2 linked regions of the Drosophila melanogaster genome follow. The protein of the gene in region 1 interacts with the protein of each later gene in a pairwise test. Each region holds a gene or a part of one and is shown in the gene's direction. Other genes may lie near its edges.

Region 1 (4,906 bases):
GCTTTACCATAAAGATATTTAAAGCTTTCGTAGCGCCACCTGTCTGCCACAAATGAAGACCCACTGCACCCTTGCAACCAGCTGAGTGGTAAGTTGTAGGGTGGATTTCGATTACGGGACTGCGCCTGCGCAGGGGTGCCTTTCTCTTGTCTTGCTCATCGGCTCTCTCGTGTACTGTTATTCTCCCGCCTGCGAGGTTAACACGTTTGCAAATGTCAAAGCCATGACTTCAGCGTAAGTTCCTCGTCCGTTTTAGTTTCAGTGTGTTCTCAGCATTTGGAGCACTTCGTTTAACCAATACGGTGCGCACACAAACACGCCAAAAACGCCAATTAAACAGATATACGATAATAAACAATATTATTTAAAACCTAACCGAATTTGTGTAAAAATCGTGGATATTAAGGGCGTTTACGGTAAATGTAAACGATTTAATTTCAATACATTCTTCCGAATTTGTCTTCGATAATTAGAGACTTAAATTAAATTTCCCCCGAAAATTCTGCGGCCCATAAACGCGCGCGTGTTCGCCTGATTTGCCAATGTGTTCGTGCGTGTTTCTTTTATGTGTGTGTGTCACTGTATGTTCCCTATGTGGGTTGTTGTGCGAGTGTGTGGCTGAGAGAGTACTTATTATGTAAAGTGCTCATCTTATTGACAGTTGTCAGTGGCTAGTTGCGCTGATTTCCGTGCCGATTGCCTTTGACCAACTGCCAAAGTCGGATGGCTTCAATTTGCTAATTAATCGAGTGCGAACGCACTTAAGTATGCTCCAGCGTTTAGCGCACGCACACACATGTACAAGCATATTGTGTGTGTCTATTTTAGTAGCAACATGTCTTTGGCAATCGTACCATATTCAAGCAAGAGAGAAAAGAGAGAATGAGAAAGTTTGGAAAGAGCCCTCACAATTTACAAATTTTTATTATTTTGACTTTCCTCTTCACCCTTGTCATCGTGCAAGCGTTCTTTTGCCCTTCGAAATGTCAAAATATTGCAGACAAAAGTCTGTGCTCTGCACAACATTGCCAGTCTGAAATACTTCTTCCGTTAGTCACATGTTTCCAACAAGCTGTCAAGCTGTAAAGAAAATTTGATGGTAGTGCATGGTGTCCTGTGCAACATATCTGAATGTATTCATTAAAAATAGCAGGCGATATTTTAAATCTTGTTTCATTAATTAATTGTGTACATATTTATTTGCTTTCTGCTTTGAATTGACATTGCCAGACTAAAATTGAATGTCAATTCAAATTGACCGCCACTTGTCGCGTTCCCCACATGCGCCACTCTCGCTCTCTTTAATTTTCTCCTTCCCTCTCTTGTTCTCTCTGTTGACTATGGGAAACAGTTAGGTTAACATACATAAGTTCTGTTAACTTTGGTAGCTTAACACTTGTACCCTTTGCGTATTATTAACCCATAAGTAATTCGAACTTAACTTTATGACATATAATGTATATGTTTAAAAAACAGTCTTTGGATTTGGAGAAAGACGTTTCATTTGTATTCTTTAAGTTTTGCTAATTATTTTTACGTAATTATTGATTGTAACTATTTCAAGGAAAGTAATTTTTGTCTTAAGGGAGAAGAGGAACTATTTTTTTTTTTGAATGAAGTTCTTTCATCGTCTAGGACTAAAATACAAACAGCTGAATCAATGATATTAAGTAAAGCAGATGTCACGGATGTAGTGCAGTTAAGGGTTAACCTTAACATCATCCCGCTGTTGCGTTAACAGCGCGTAACGGGACTGCCGCTCTCTTTGTCCAGCCCCCCTCCGATCGACCAACACATAGACAGCGCTCAGTTGCTGGTCTTGTTTGGCTTGGTTTAGTTTTAGTCCTTCTTTGAACGTGCTGCCGACGAGTCACGAATTCGCAAGGCGTACGCATGGGATACCGACTCCCCACTCTTCCAGTCACATACTTTTTTTTCCAGTGTTTGTGCGCCCAGTGTGCGTGTGCGAGTGTGCGTGCGCGTAGATGTGTGTGTTTTGATGAGTGTGCAAACAGCAGGAGGAAGCGAAATAAGAAATAACACAAACCCACGCTTAATATGTATTATTGTACTCAACCTTCTGGCCATTTGCATGTGATGCGAAGCTATGTGCTTACAGCTGTTTAATTGATTCCCCGATTGCAACTCTTCGCGATCTCCGCTTTCGGTTTTGAGTTGTCCCGTTGAACCGCTAACTGTTTAACCGTTAACCGATTTGCCGTCCTGTGTGCTTGTCGCTCTGTCAAAGTGTGTGTGTGTGTGTTTATTTTGTCTTCTTTTAGTTAATTCATCGTGTAGTTTCTCGTTTTTTTTGCTGTTTCTCCTGACAAGTGATATTGCTCTCTCGCTCTGAGTCAGCAGCGCCTGTCAAGCGGAGGGTTGTTTTTTTTTCCCTGGCCAGCCGCTCCCCCTCAATCACCGCACCCACCCCCTTCGCTCAACTTTTGCGCCACGTTGCCTTCAAAACTTCATTTCCAACCACTTGCCGTCGCCGTCGACGTCATCGCAGCCATACAACAAACCACCGAGACACCACCCCCACCAGCACCCCCCCTCATCTGATCCCGGTGTCATTGGCACTCGCTTACAGTTTGTTTAGTTTGCTTTTAAGTTGTGCGTTGTCTGCAAAATGATAAAACAAAGTATATAATAATAAGGACCAAGGGGCATGGCAAATCAGTTTACGTTAATTTTGTTTTCGTACTGCCCAAATAGAAAGAAAACCAATGCAAATACAAGACAATAAGTGAACTGAGAACCGCTGAACGCTAAGGAAAAAACAAAAACCCAAAGAAATAAAATAAACGTTGCACCCACCACCGCCTCACGCTCACCGCTCGCCCGCTAGTTTAAAGCTAATGCCACCGCCCACCACCACTAGAACTACTACTTCCACCACAACCACTAGTACCACCACCACCAAGAACCACAACCACCAACTACCAGCCTCGATCTGAACCACTTCGCAATCAAATAACAAGAAAAGAGTTAAATGTAAAAGAAAGAAAGGCAGAGTCCAGATTCCGAGTCCACTTGTCCAAAATGTCGTCAAATGTTGAAAAATGTGAGCTCCACCAAAAAAATGCATTACTAGATGTGTTCGTTCCCGTAATATGTGCATTTAGCATCCCTCTAGAACCTCTAGCGTAGCTCTATCTATTTCCTCGATAAAAAATCAAAAGACGTAGCGCCCATTCTCTATTAAAAAAATAAAAATAACTTAATAACTTACTAAGCAACCATAGAATCATTACCCGATTTGTCTTGCCATTTTTACCACTTTAGATCTAGACTGTTGACAACTATTAAAAATAAACCACACTCATTTTTGTTTTATACTAGCAAATAAGAACTATAACTATACTTTATATCGGTCTGCCTCTCTCTTTCTCACTCTATCTCTGTCTCTGTCTGTCGCTCCATCTCTGTCTGTCTTTCTTGTTCTGTCTAGTTAACATGCCTTGAATCGAACTTTTATCCACTCTGTTAACTTCTCCTGCCTAAGAAAACAAACTTTCCCACTCGAGTCCTTGAAATTTGGGAAGACCGACTGAGAATAACATCTGAAAAAGTGAAGTTCTCAAGATGGTTCCTGTGCGTTGGCACTCGTTAAAACTTCCACTGATTGGCTGGAGTCCCGATTGTAAATAGAAGCCCCATTTCTACCAAATCCTTGAGTTTCTATTAGATGTTCAACCATTGCCTGCTTCTTAACCAACCTGCATGCTCGAGAAATCATCAAATAACTAAAGATTATCGATTTATAATTTGAGAATGTTGAACACACACAGACACACACACATAATGATTGGGTCGATCGGTGGATCAAAATTACACATTCTATTGTACGTTATCCCCGTAAAGTTACATAATATCCGTTCCATTCCGTTTCGTTTCGTTTCTCGTTCCTCGTAGTTCCCAAGTTCGTTTGATGCGTTCGTTCCATCGTTCCTTCGTTGTGTTTGCCAAGTTAAATTTTGTTGTACTCGAATTCCCAACTGGCCAACTAAACCAGAGTTGGAATTCGCAATTGGCAGCCAGAAGCCAAAACTGAACAGAAAACCAAACAGCAGCTACCAGAAACAAACAACAATATAAATTAAACCTTAACCCAATCTAAATATATATATATTTATATATATATATATTCTTCCAAACCTAAAGTGTGTCTAATCACCAATTCTTAACGTCAAATTCTCTTTAAACTAAATAATCCACACACGAATCACACAAACCAAAAACCGAAATCAAAACCAAATAATCGAATCGAAATCGAAATCGCAGACCCAGGCAAAATTCGCATTGACCACCAAGCATATGAGCTTGTGGCTAAAGGTAAGCTATGAATAGTCAATATTTCAATGTTTATTTGTGAAAGGAAATCCGTTAAATGGAGAGATTATTACTATCAATTCGGCTGCAGTGCAGTGTTATGAAACATTTAAATTAAATGATTAGCTTTAATGATTTACACGCCTAAAGTTTAAGGTATACGAGTTTATGATATTTTGGAGTTGTGTAAATCGAATACTTTACACAGCAATGGCTTCAAGGATCTTTTCATAGAACATCTGCTAACAAACAACTGTTAATGAATATCCACGGCATCTATAGTTTTTATTGACTTTCCATAATGAACTGAACTCTTCTGAATAAGCCATGAATAATTTCCACTGCTGCCCTTATTAATAAACCCTTTAAAGCCTCAGCTGGTCGTTAAAACGGTGCAGCAGTCGCTAGTCTGGGAAATCCCCGATTGGCTCAAGGGAAATTCCCTCTAAATTATTATCTACGGTCCCTTCCTGGTTCCGCATTGATTTGTCGCATGTCCGGATGTTGTACGTTCCTGCCCCTCACACATCTTGCCACATGCAACTATTCATTTTCAATTATCCTGTTAAATTAA
Region 2 (5,110 bases), 7.7 Mb from region 1:
CAATGCTATGGAAATAAGTCTTGAATTCAAGAAATACTTTAAAACGTTGTATAGATTCCATGAGTTTATATATTTGAAAAGAAAAAACCACAAATTAGCTATAACAAATTTGTTTGGGGTTAAAAAGGGTGTGCGTGATAGGGGAGCTATCTGAAATATTTAAGGACAAAACTTGTGCATGCATTTCGATTTTATTGGTAATATAGTGTTTCAAAATGCTGCAACAGAAATCCTATCTTGCGAATGGAATTTATGGGATCTGGCTATGAACCTTCTTATCGAGAAAGGCTTTTTGTTATAGTTTGTTGGGGTGTTTATAAACAATTTTGGACTACGCATATGTAGAGGAAATGCCCTGACTATGCAACAACGTTCGCCTTATCTTTCGTCTTTGTGTAAATTTAGAGCGCAATGCATTGATATTCCCATACGGCGGCCATAAATTACATGACAATTACTTGGGGAGCCGAAGAAAATCAGCGGTGCTTGGAAAATCCCCCCTCGAAAAGGCAAGCAATGCGTGGAAAGAGGCGCGAAGAGAGAGCGGAAAATTGGAAGAGAGCCGACACTTCATCACTCGCTCCGAATTTTCCGATTTTCCGGCGGTGCCTCCCTCACACGCGTAGTTTAAATTGCGTTCGCAGCAATCGTGCCATAAATTTCCCTTCCGAAACTTGTTTATTTTGGTCTTGCATGTCTCCAGTGCCGAAATCTTCCCATCCAACAGTCCATCTTCATCGCTGGTAGTATCTTTGTATCTTTTGTATCTCCCTATCTCTCGTGGAGCGCACAGCTTGTGTATCGATTCAATTATGGGAAAACTTAGAATCAACTCATCATGCAGTCGATTGATTAACAAGTCGCACCTAGTAAAATGGCTCCCACAGTGTTTGAGTTTTCAGCTGAGCTTGGCTTTACTACAAGTGTGACATTTGAAATGTTCTTAAGCCAACTAAAATTATGCATGCAGCAAAAAGCGCAGGAATGTTGGCACTTCAAAAAAGGGCTGCTTAATGTAAAAATTAAGCTAATTTAATGATAAATTAATAGCTTCTTTTTGAAAATCATGTTAAACACTTCTCTGTGTGGTTCCCATGGGATTTCCGCCGTTTTGTCAAGCCACAGATTTGGACTTTTTACTCAAATTGCTCTGTAGAGGACCATATGTCGCTCTTCACAGCCCTTCTGGCATTCCACAATCGGAAGAAAGACTGCAGATTTCTACCAAAACGGGAAGAATTGTGGGTGCGAAGAAGGAGGAGAGATTGGTGAACAGCTGCTGTCCCGACAGCATTGACCTCTTGACGGCCAATTCTCCTACTTTATCTCAATCTGCAGTGTTTAAAGGGTTTATACTTTATGTGATCTTTTTTTTTTTGTTTTTTATCTTCTCCGGCAACAGTTGGTGGTCCACACTTTTGGCGGAAGGTGGCGCTGCTAACAGCAAATCAGAGTGCAATTAAGGCCAAAAGACAGATGGCCAAAAATCGTGGCACATCGGCTGGCAATATCCCCAAATTTGCGTGCACAGAAACAAAAAAGATATGTATAGCGAACACTAAATTGATTCGTATAAATAATTTATAATATTTTTTAATATAATTTATACATTGCATCTGAAAACTTATAGTAAATATATGATATGAAAACATATATCCCATATATATGGGAATTTAAAAAAACATTGGCTGCCAAACATAATCCAAATGAATAACAACATAGAACAGAGGTTGCATCGAGCCGCGCTGTTAGCCCTGTTGCATGCTGTTAGAGCCTGAAACACCACTTGCAACATCATCGAACATGTTGCGTCGCTTTGTTTTGTTTGAAGACAAGCCGCGCCGGCCGAAGAAGTCGGATTTTTGGATCGAGTTCGCACTTCGTTCCGTTCGCTCGTACCGTTCGCTTCGTAGCGGCGGAAACTCCGTACTTTCGATAGCTGGTATCTCACAGATACTTTTCGAGACCCCGAAGACGAGAACTCGCATCGCATATTCGCCCGAGAAAACTCTCAGTAAATCTCAGATAATTAAAACGAAATATATAACTAAACGTCAATTTTTTTTTTGGTGCAAACGCAAGCCAAAAAATTTCATTTTGGTGTGGATTACCAGTGGAAAAGTGTGTGCTTAAAATGGAATAAACAAGGCTATCATAAAAACAAAGCCCGAAAAACCAAACAAGCTGAAAATTGTCAACCCAACAATTATGGATTAGTGCCAGTGGCCGGTCAGAGTCAGTTAAAAATATATATGCATATAAGAGGACTAAGGAGCCGAAATTGTTTAAATTGATTACAAACAAACAGTGTGAGTAAAAAAGTTCATCAGTAAAATCTAAAGAAAACTCCTGTGCTTTTGGCTTTTTTCATGCGCCAACTGCAACAGCTGCTCCCTCACTTTGACCTTTTCGTTTGATTTTGTTTATAATATACTGTTACTGGCCAAGTCTCCGCCTCTTTTGGCCCCTCAAAAGTTTCGCTTTTGGCCACTTTGGCATTTGGATTTCGAGTTTGCTTGAGTGTATTTTTTTTTTTTTCGAAGAAAATATATGTGTTTTTAATTGAAAATGGAAGCATGATTTTTGGTTGTAAGTAGACTTTGTTAAAGCAAAATTTATATTTTCCTTTCTGCCTAATGAAATGCCCAATGGCAAGTACTAGTTGCTGAAAATATTAAAATGTAATAAAATATAAAATAAATTAAATTACCATCTTTCGAATAACGTTTAGATCTTATCAATCTGAAAATGAGGTTTATTATACAAAATCTATGTTAAGTTGTATATCACAGATATACTTTCCCCTCTACAATAATAGATCTTCAACTCCAGACCTTGGACACCTAATTAGCTTCTTCTGACCATTCCATCCCTCTGAGCATCTATAGAAAAAAGTGCTCTTCTTAACTGATTCGATCTCTTCTTTCCTTGGTTTTGCATGATTTATGATTTAAAGCAATAACTTTGAAAAACAAAATGTACAAAGCTAGTCAACGATTAGGCATTTCGTAAGCACTTAAGTTGAAAAATTAATATTAAATGTATAGAATGATTTTTTGTTCGTATACAAGTATGTACACAAACAAAAAATCTACTTGAATATATGCTAAACAATGCTAAAATCATTCTGAATAATTTACGGCAAACGATAAACTTTAATGAGTATAACATTCAACTTCAAGTTTTAATCTACATAATAGGCAATGTATATTAAATGTGCGCTTTGGTGTAATTCTTTAATGCGTATATTTATTTATAACATTCGAATGGTATACCTATTTCAATGGTTTATTTCTGACATTTATGGATTAATTCATTTGGTTTTAAGTAAATAAATTTGCAAATACATTTAATTCCTTTTGTCATTGATTAAGTGAAATGCCAGTAATTCGACTCTCTTATTGACACATTCAAAAATCATAAATCAATTATTCCAAATCCAATAGAAATTTATTTATTACTCATAAAATTTTTCTCTGTGTAACTCCCCCCAGCTGTAAGCGAAGAAAATGTTGCTAGCGGCTGTGGTGTTAAAGAACAGAAATGCGAGCTAAAGAAGCTGAAGGCCCAGAAGCTTTACCAATACATCGATACATTGCACACAGATACTCAAACATCTGCAAATGCATATACAAGCGTATCTTCAGACTCACGCACCTGTCCCTTGTCATTAAAAAAGCAAGCAAAGTTTCAATCTTCTTTGGCAAGCTAACCTTTTACTTACTCTGCTCCATCCTCTGGGTTCATATATGTCGCATGATAAACACCGGAAAAATATTGATTGGCTGGGAGATTTGCTAAAGCACGATTAAGAAAACTAGTCTCAAAAAAAGTTAGTCTTTGACCAGAAAAAGTATTTGTTCTTTTTTTTTTTAATTGAAATTAACTTATTTTCATACTTATTTATCTTGATTGAAGCTCCTATAAATTCATTTTGAATAACGTTATTAAGTTTTTTGGTTTGAAAACAAAAAGAAAAAATATTTTTAAAGTGTATTTGGGAACGTGTGTGTAGCTTTTGGATTTTATAATTTGGCCCAATTTGCTGGCATTGCAAATTGCTAAAAACGTCTGAAACAATCGACAGGAGGAAATTGGGGAGTGTGGGAAAAGGATGGCAAAAGAGGCGTTCGGTAGGCGTGGCAGGAAGTGCAACATGCTCATGTCGCAAGTTGTTGCTGCCGCCTGTATTTCTCCTGCACTTTTTGTTGCTGTGTTATCGATTGGCGAGGCCGCATTTGTTGGATCGTTTTGACGCGTCCTCGTCAGCATGTCGAAACTTATTTTTCCTTTTCAATTTCGCCCTGCGATTTTGCATTTTTTTTGTTTTTTTTTTTTCGCCTGCCTGTCGCTTTGTTAGTTCTTTGCATGCCACAAATTATGTTCGTCACCCCCTTTTGCCCCACCGCGCTGGATGGATTACCTTGAGAGCGGAGCTGTCAGGCTTTTTGACAGTTTCTGCCGTATCGGTTCCACCGATTTGACTGCTGCGCTCATCCGTTTTGCCTGTTTTTTTTTTTTGTTTAAGAAAGTGCTTCGTTTAATGAATAATTGGTATTTTATATCATTTAGGTACAATAAGAAAAGACTTATTGCCTGGTATTTGCATCTGCCAGCTAATTTCTCATCTCATCTCTAAAAAGAAATGCAGACGAGGGCATTCGAAAGGCAAGCAATTTATCCCTTGGTTAATTTGGTTAATTGAAGACAATTGAGGGCCGCTTTGCAGTTCATTAAGCCTCATCAGCGTTGAGAAATGGGGCCCAGAATCCAGAAGTCCAGAAGTCCGAATCCCAGATCCAGTTCCATCTATACTTTCCATTTCCAGATCTGTTGTCTTGTCGCCAGACTAATTAAAATATTTGCACTCAAATGCTTAAGCAATAAATATTTGTCAAGCCATCATCATTAGGAGGAGGCTATAAGGGGGGGGGGTTCTGACCTCAAAACATGGCACTCCACTTTCTGGGGTGGGGGCAAAATGGAAATGGAAAATGAAAATCTATGAGAGGCGGCATTTTTAAAGTGCGCCACTTTGGCCTGCATTTTTGATGAGCTTTAATGGCGCCGCCTTAATGCAAGTGAAGCATGCAGGGTGTGGGGTTGGGGA

Evidence for each region.
Region 2: the proteins of X11Lbeta (region 1) and rst interact in a two-hybrid assay, tested with the Drosophila melanogaster proteins (one study listed by BioGRID).

What each region holds. Positions count from the first base shown.
Region 1 is NC_004354.4:10,627,474-10,632,379, forward strand, and holds the start of X11Lbeta (X11Lbeta), read left to right. Parts: upstream 1-1,843; 5' UTR 1,844-1,942; intron 1,943-2,700; exon of another isoform or gene 2,701-3,915; 5' UTR 3,916-4,335; intron 4,336-4,906.
Region 2 is NC_004354.4:2,970,600-2,975,709, reverse strand, and holds the start of rst (roughest), read left to right. Parts: upstream 1-1,875; 5' UTR 1,876-2,309; intron 2,310-5,110. UniProt on the Drosophila melanogaster protein: Required for correct axonal pathway formation in the optic lobe and for programmed cell death in the developing retina.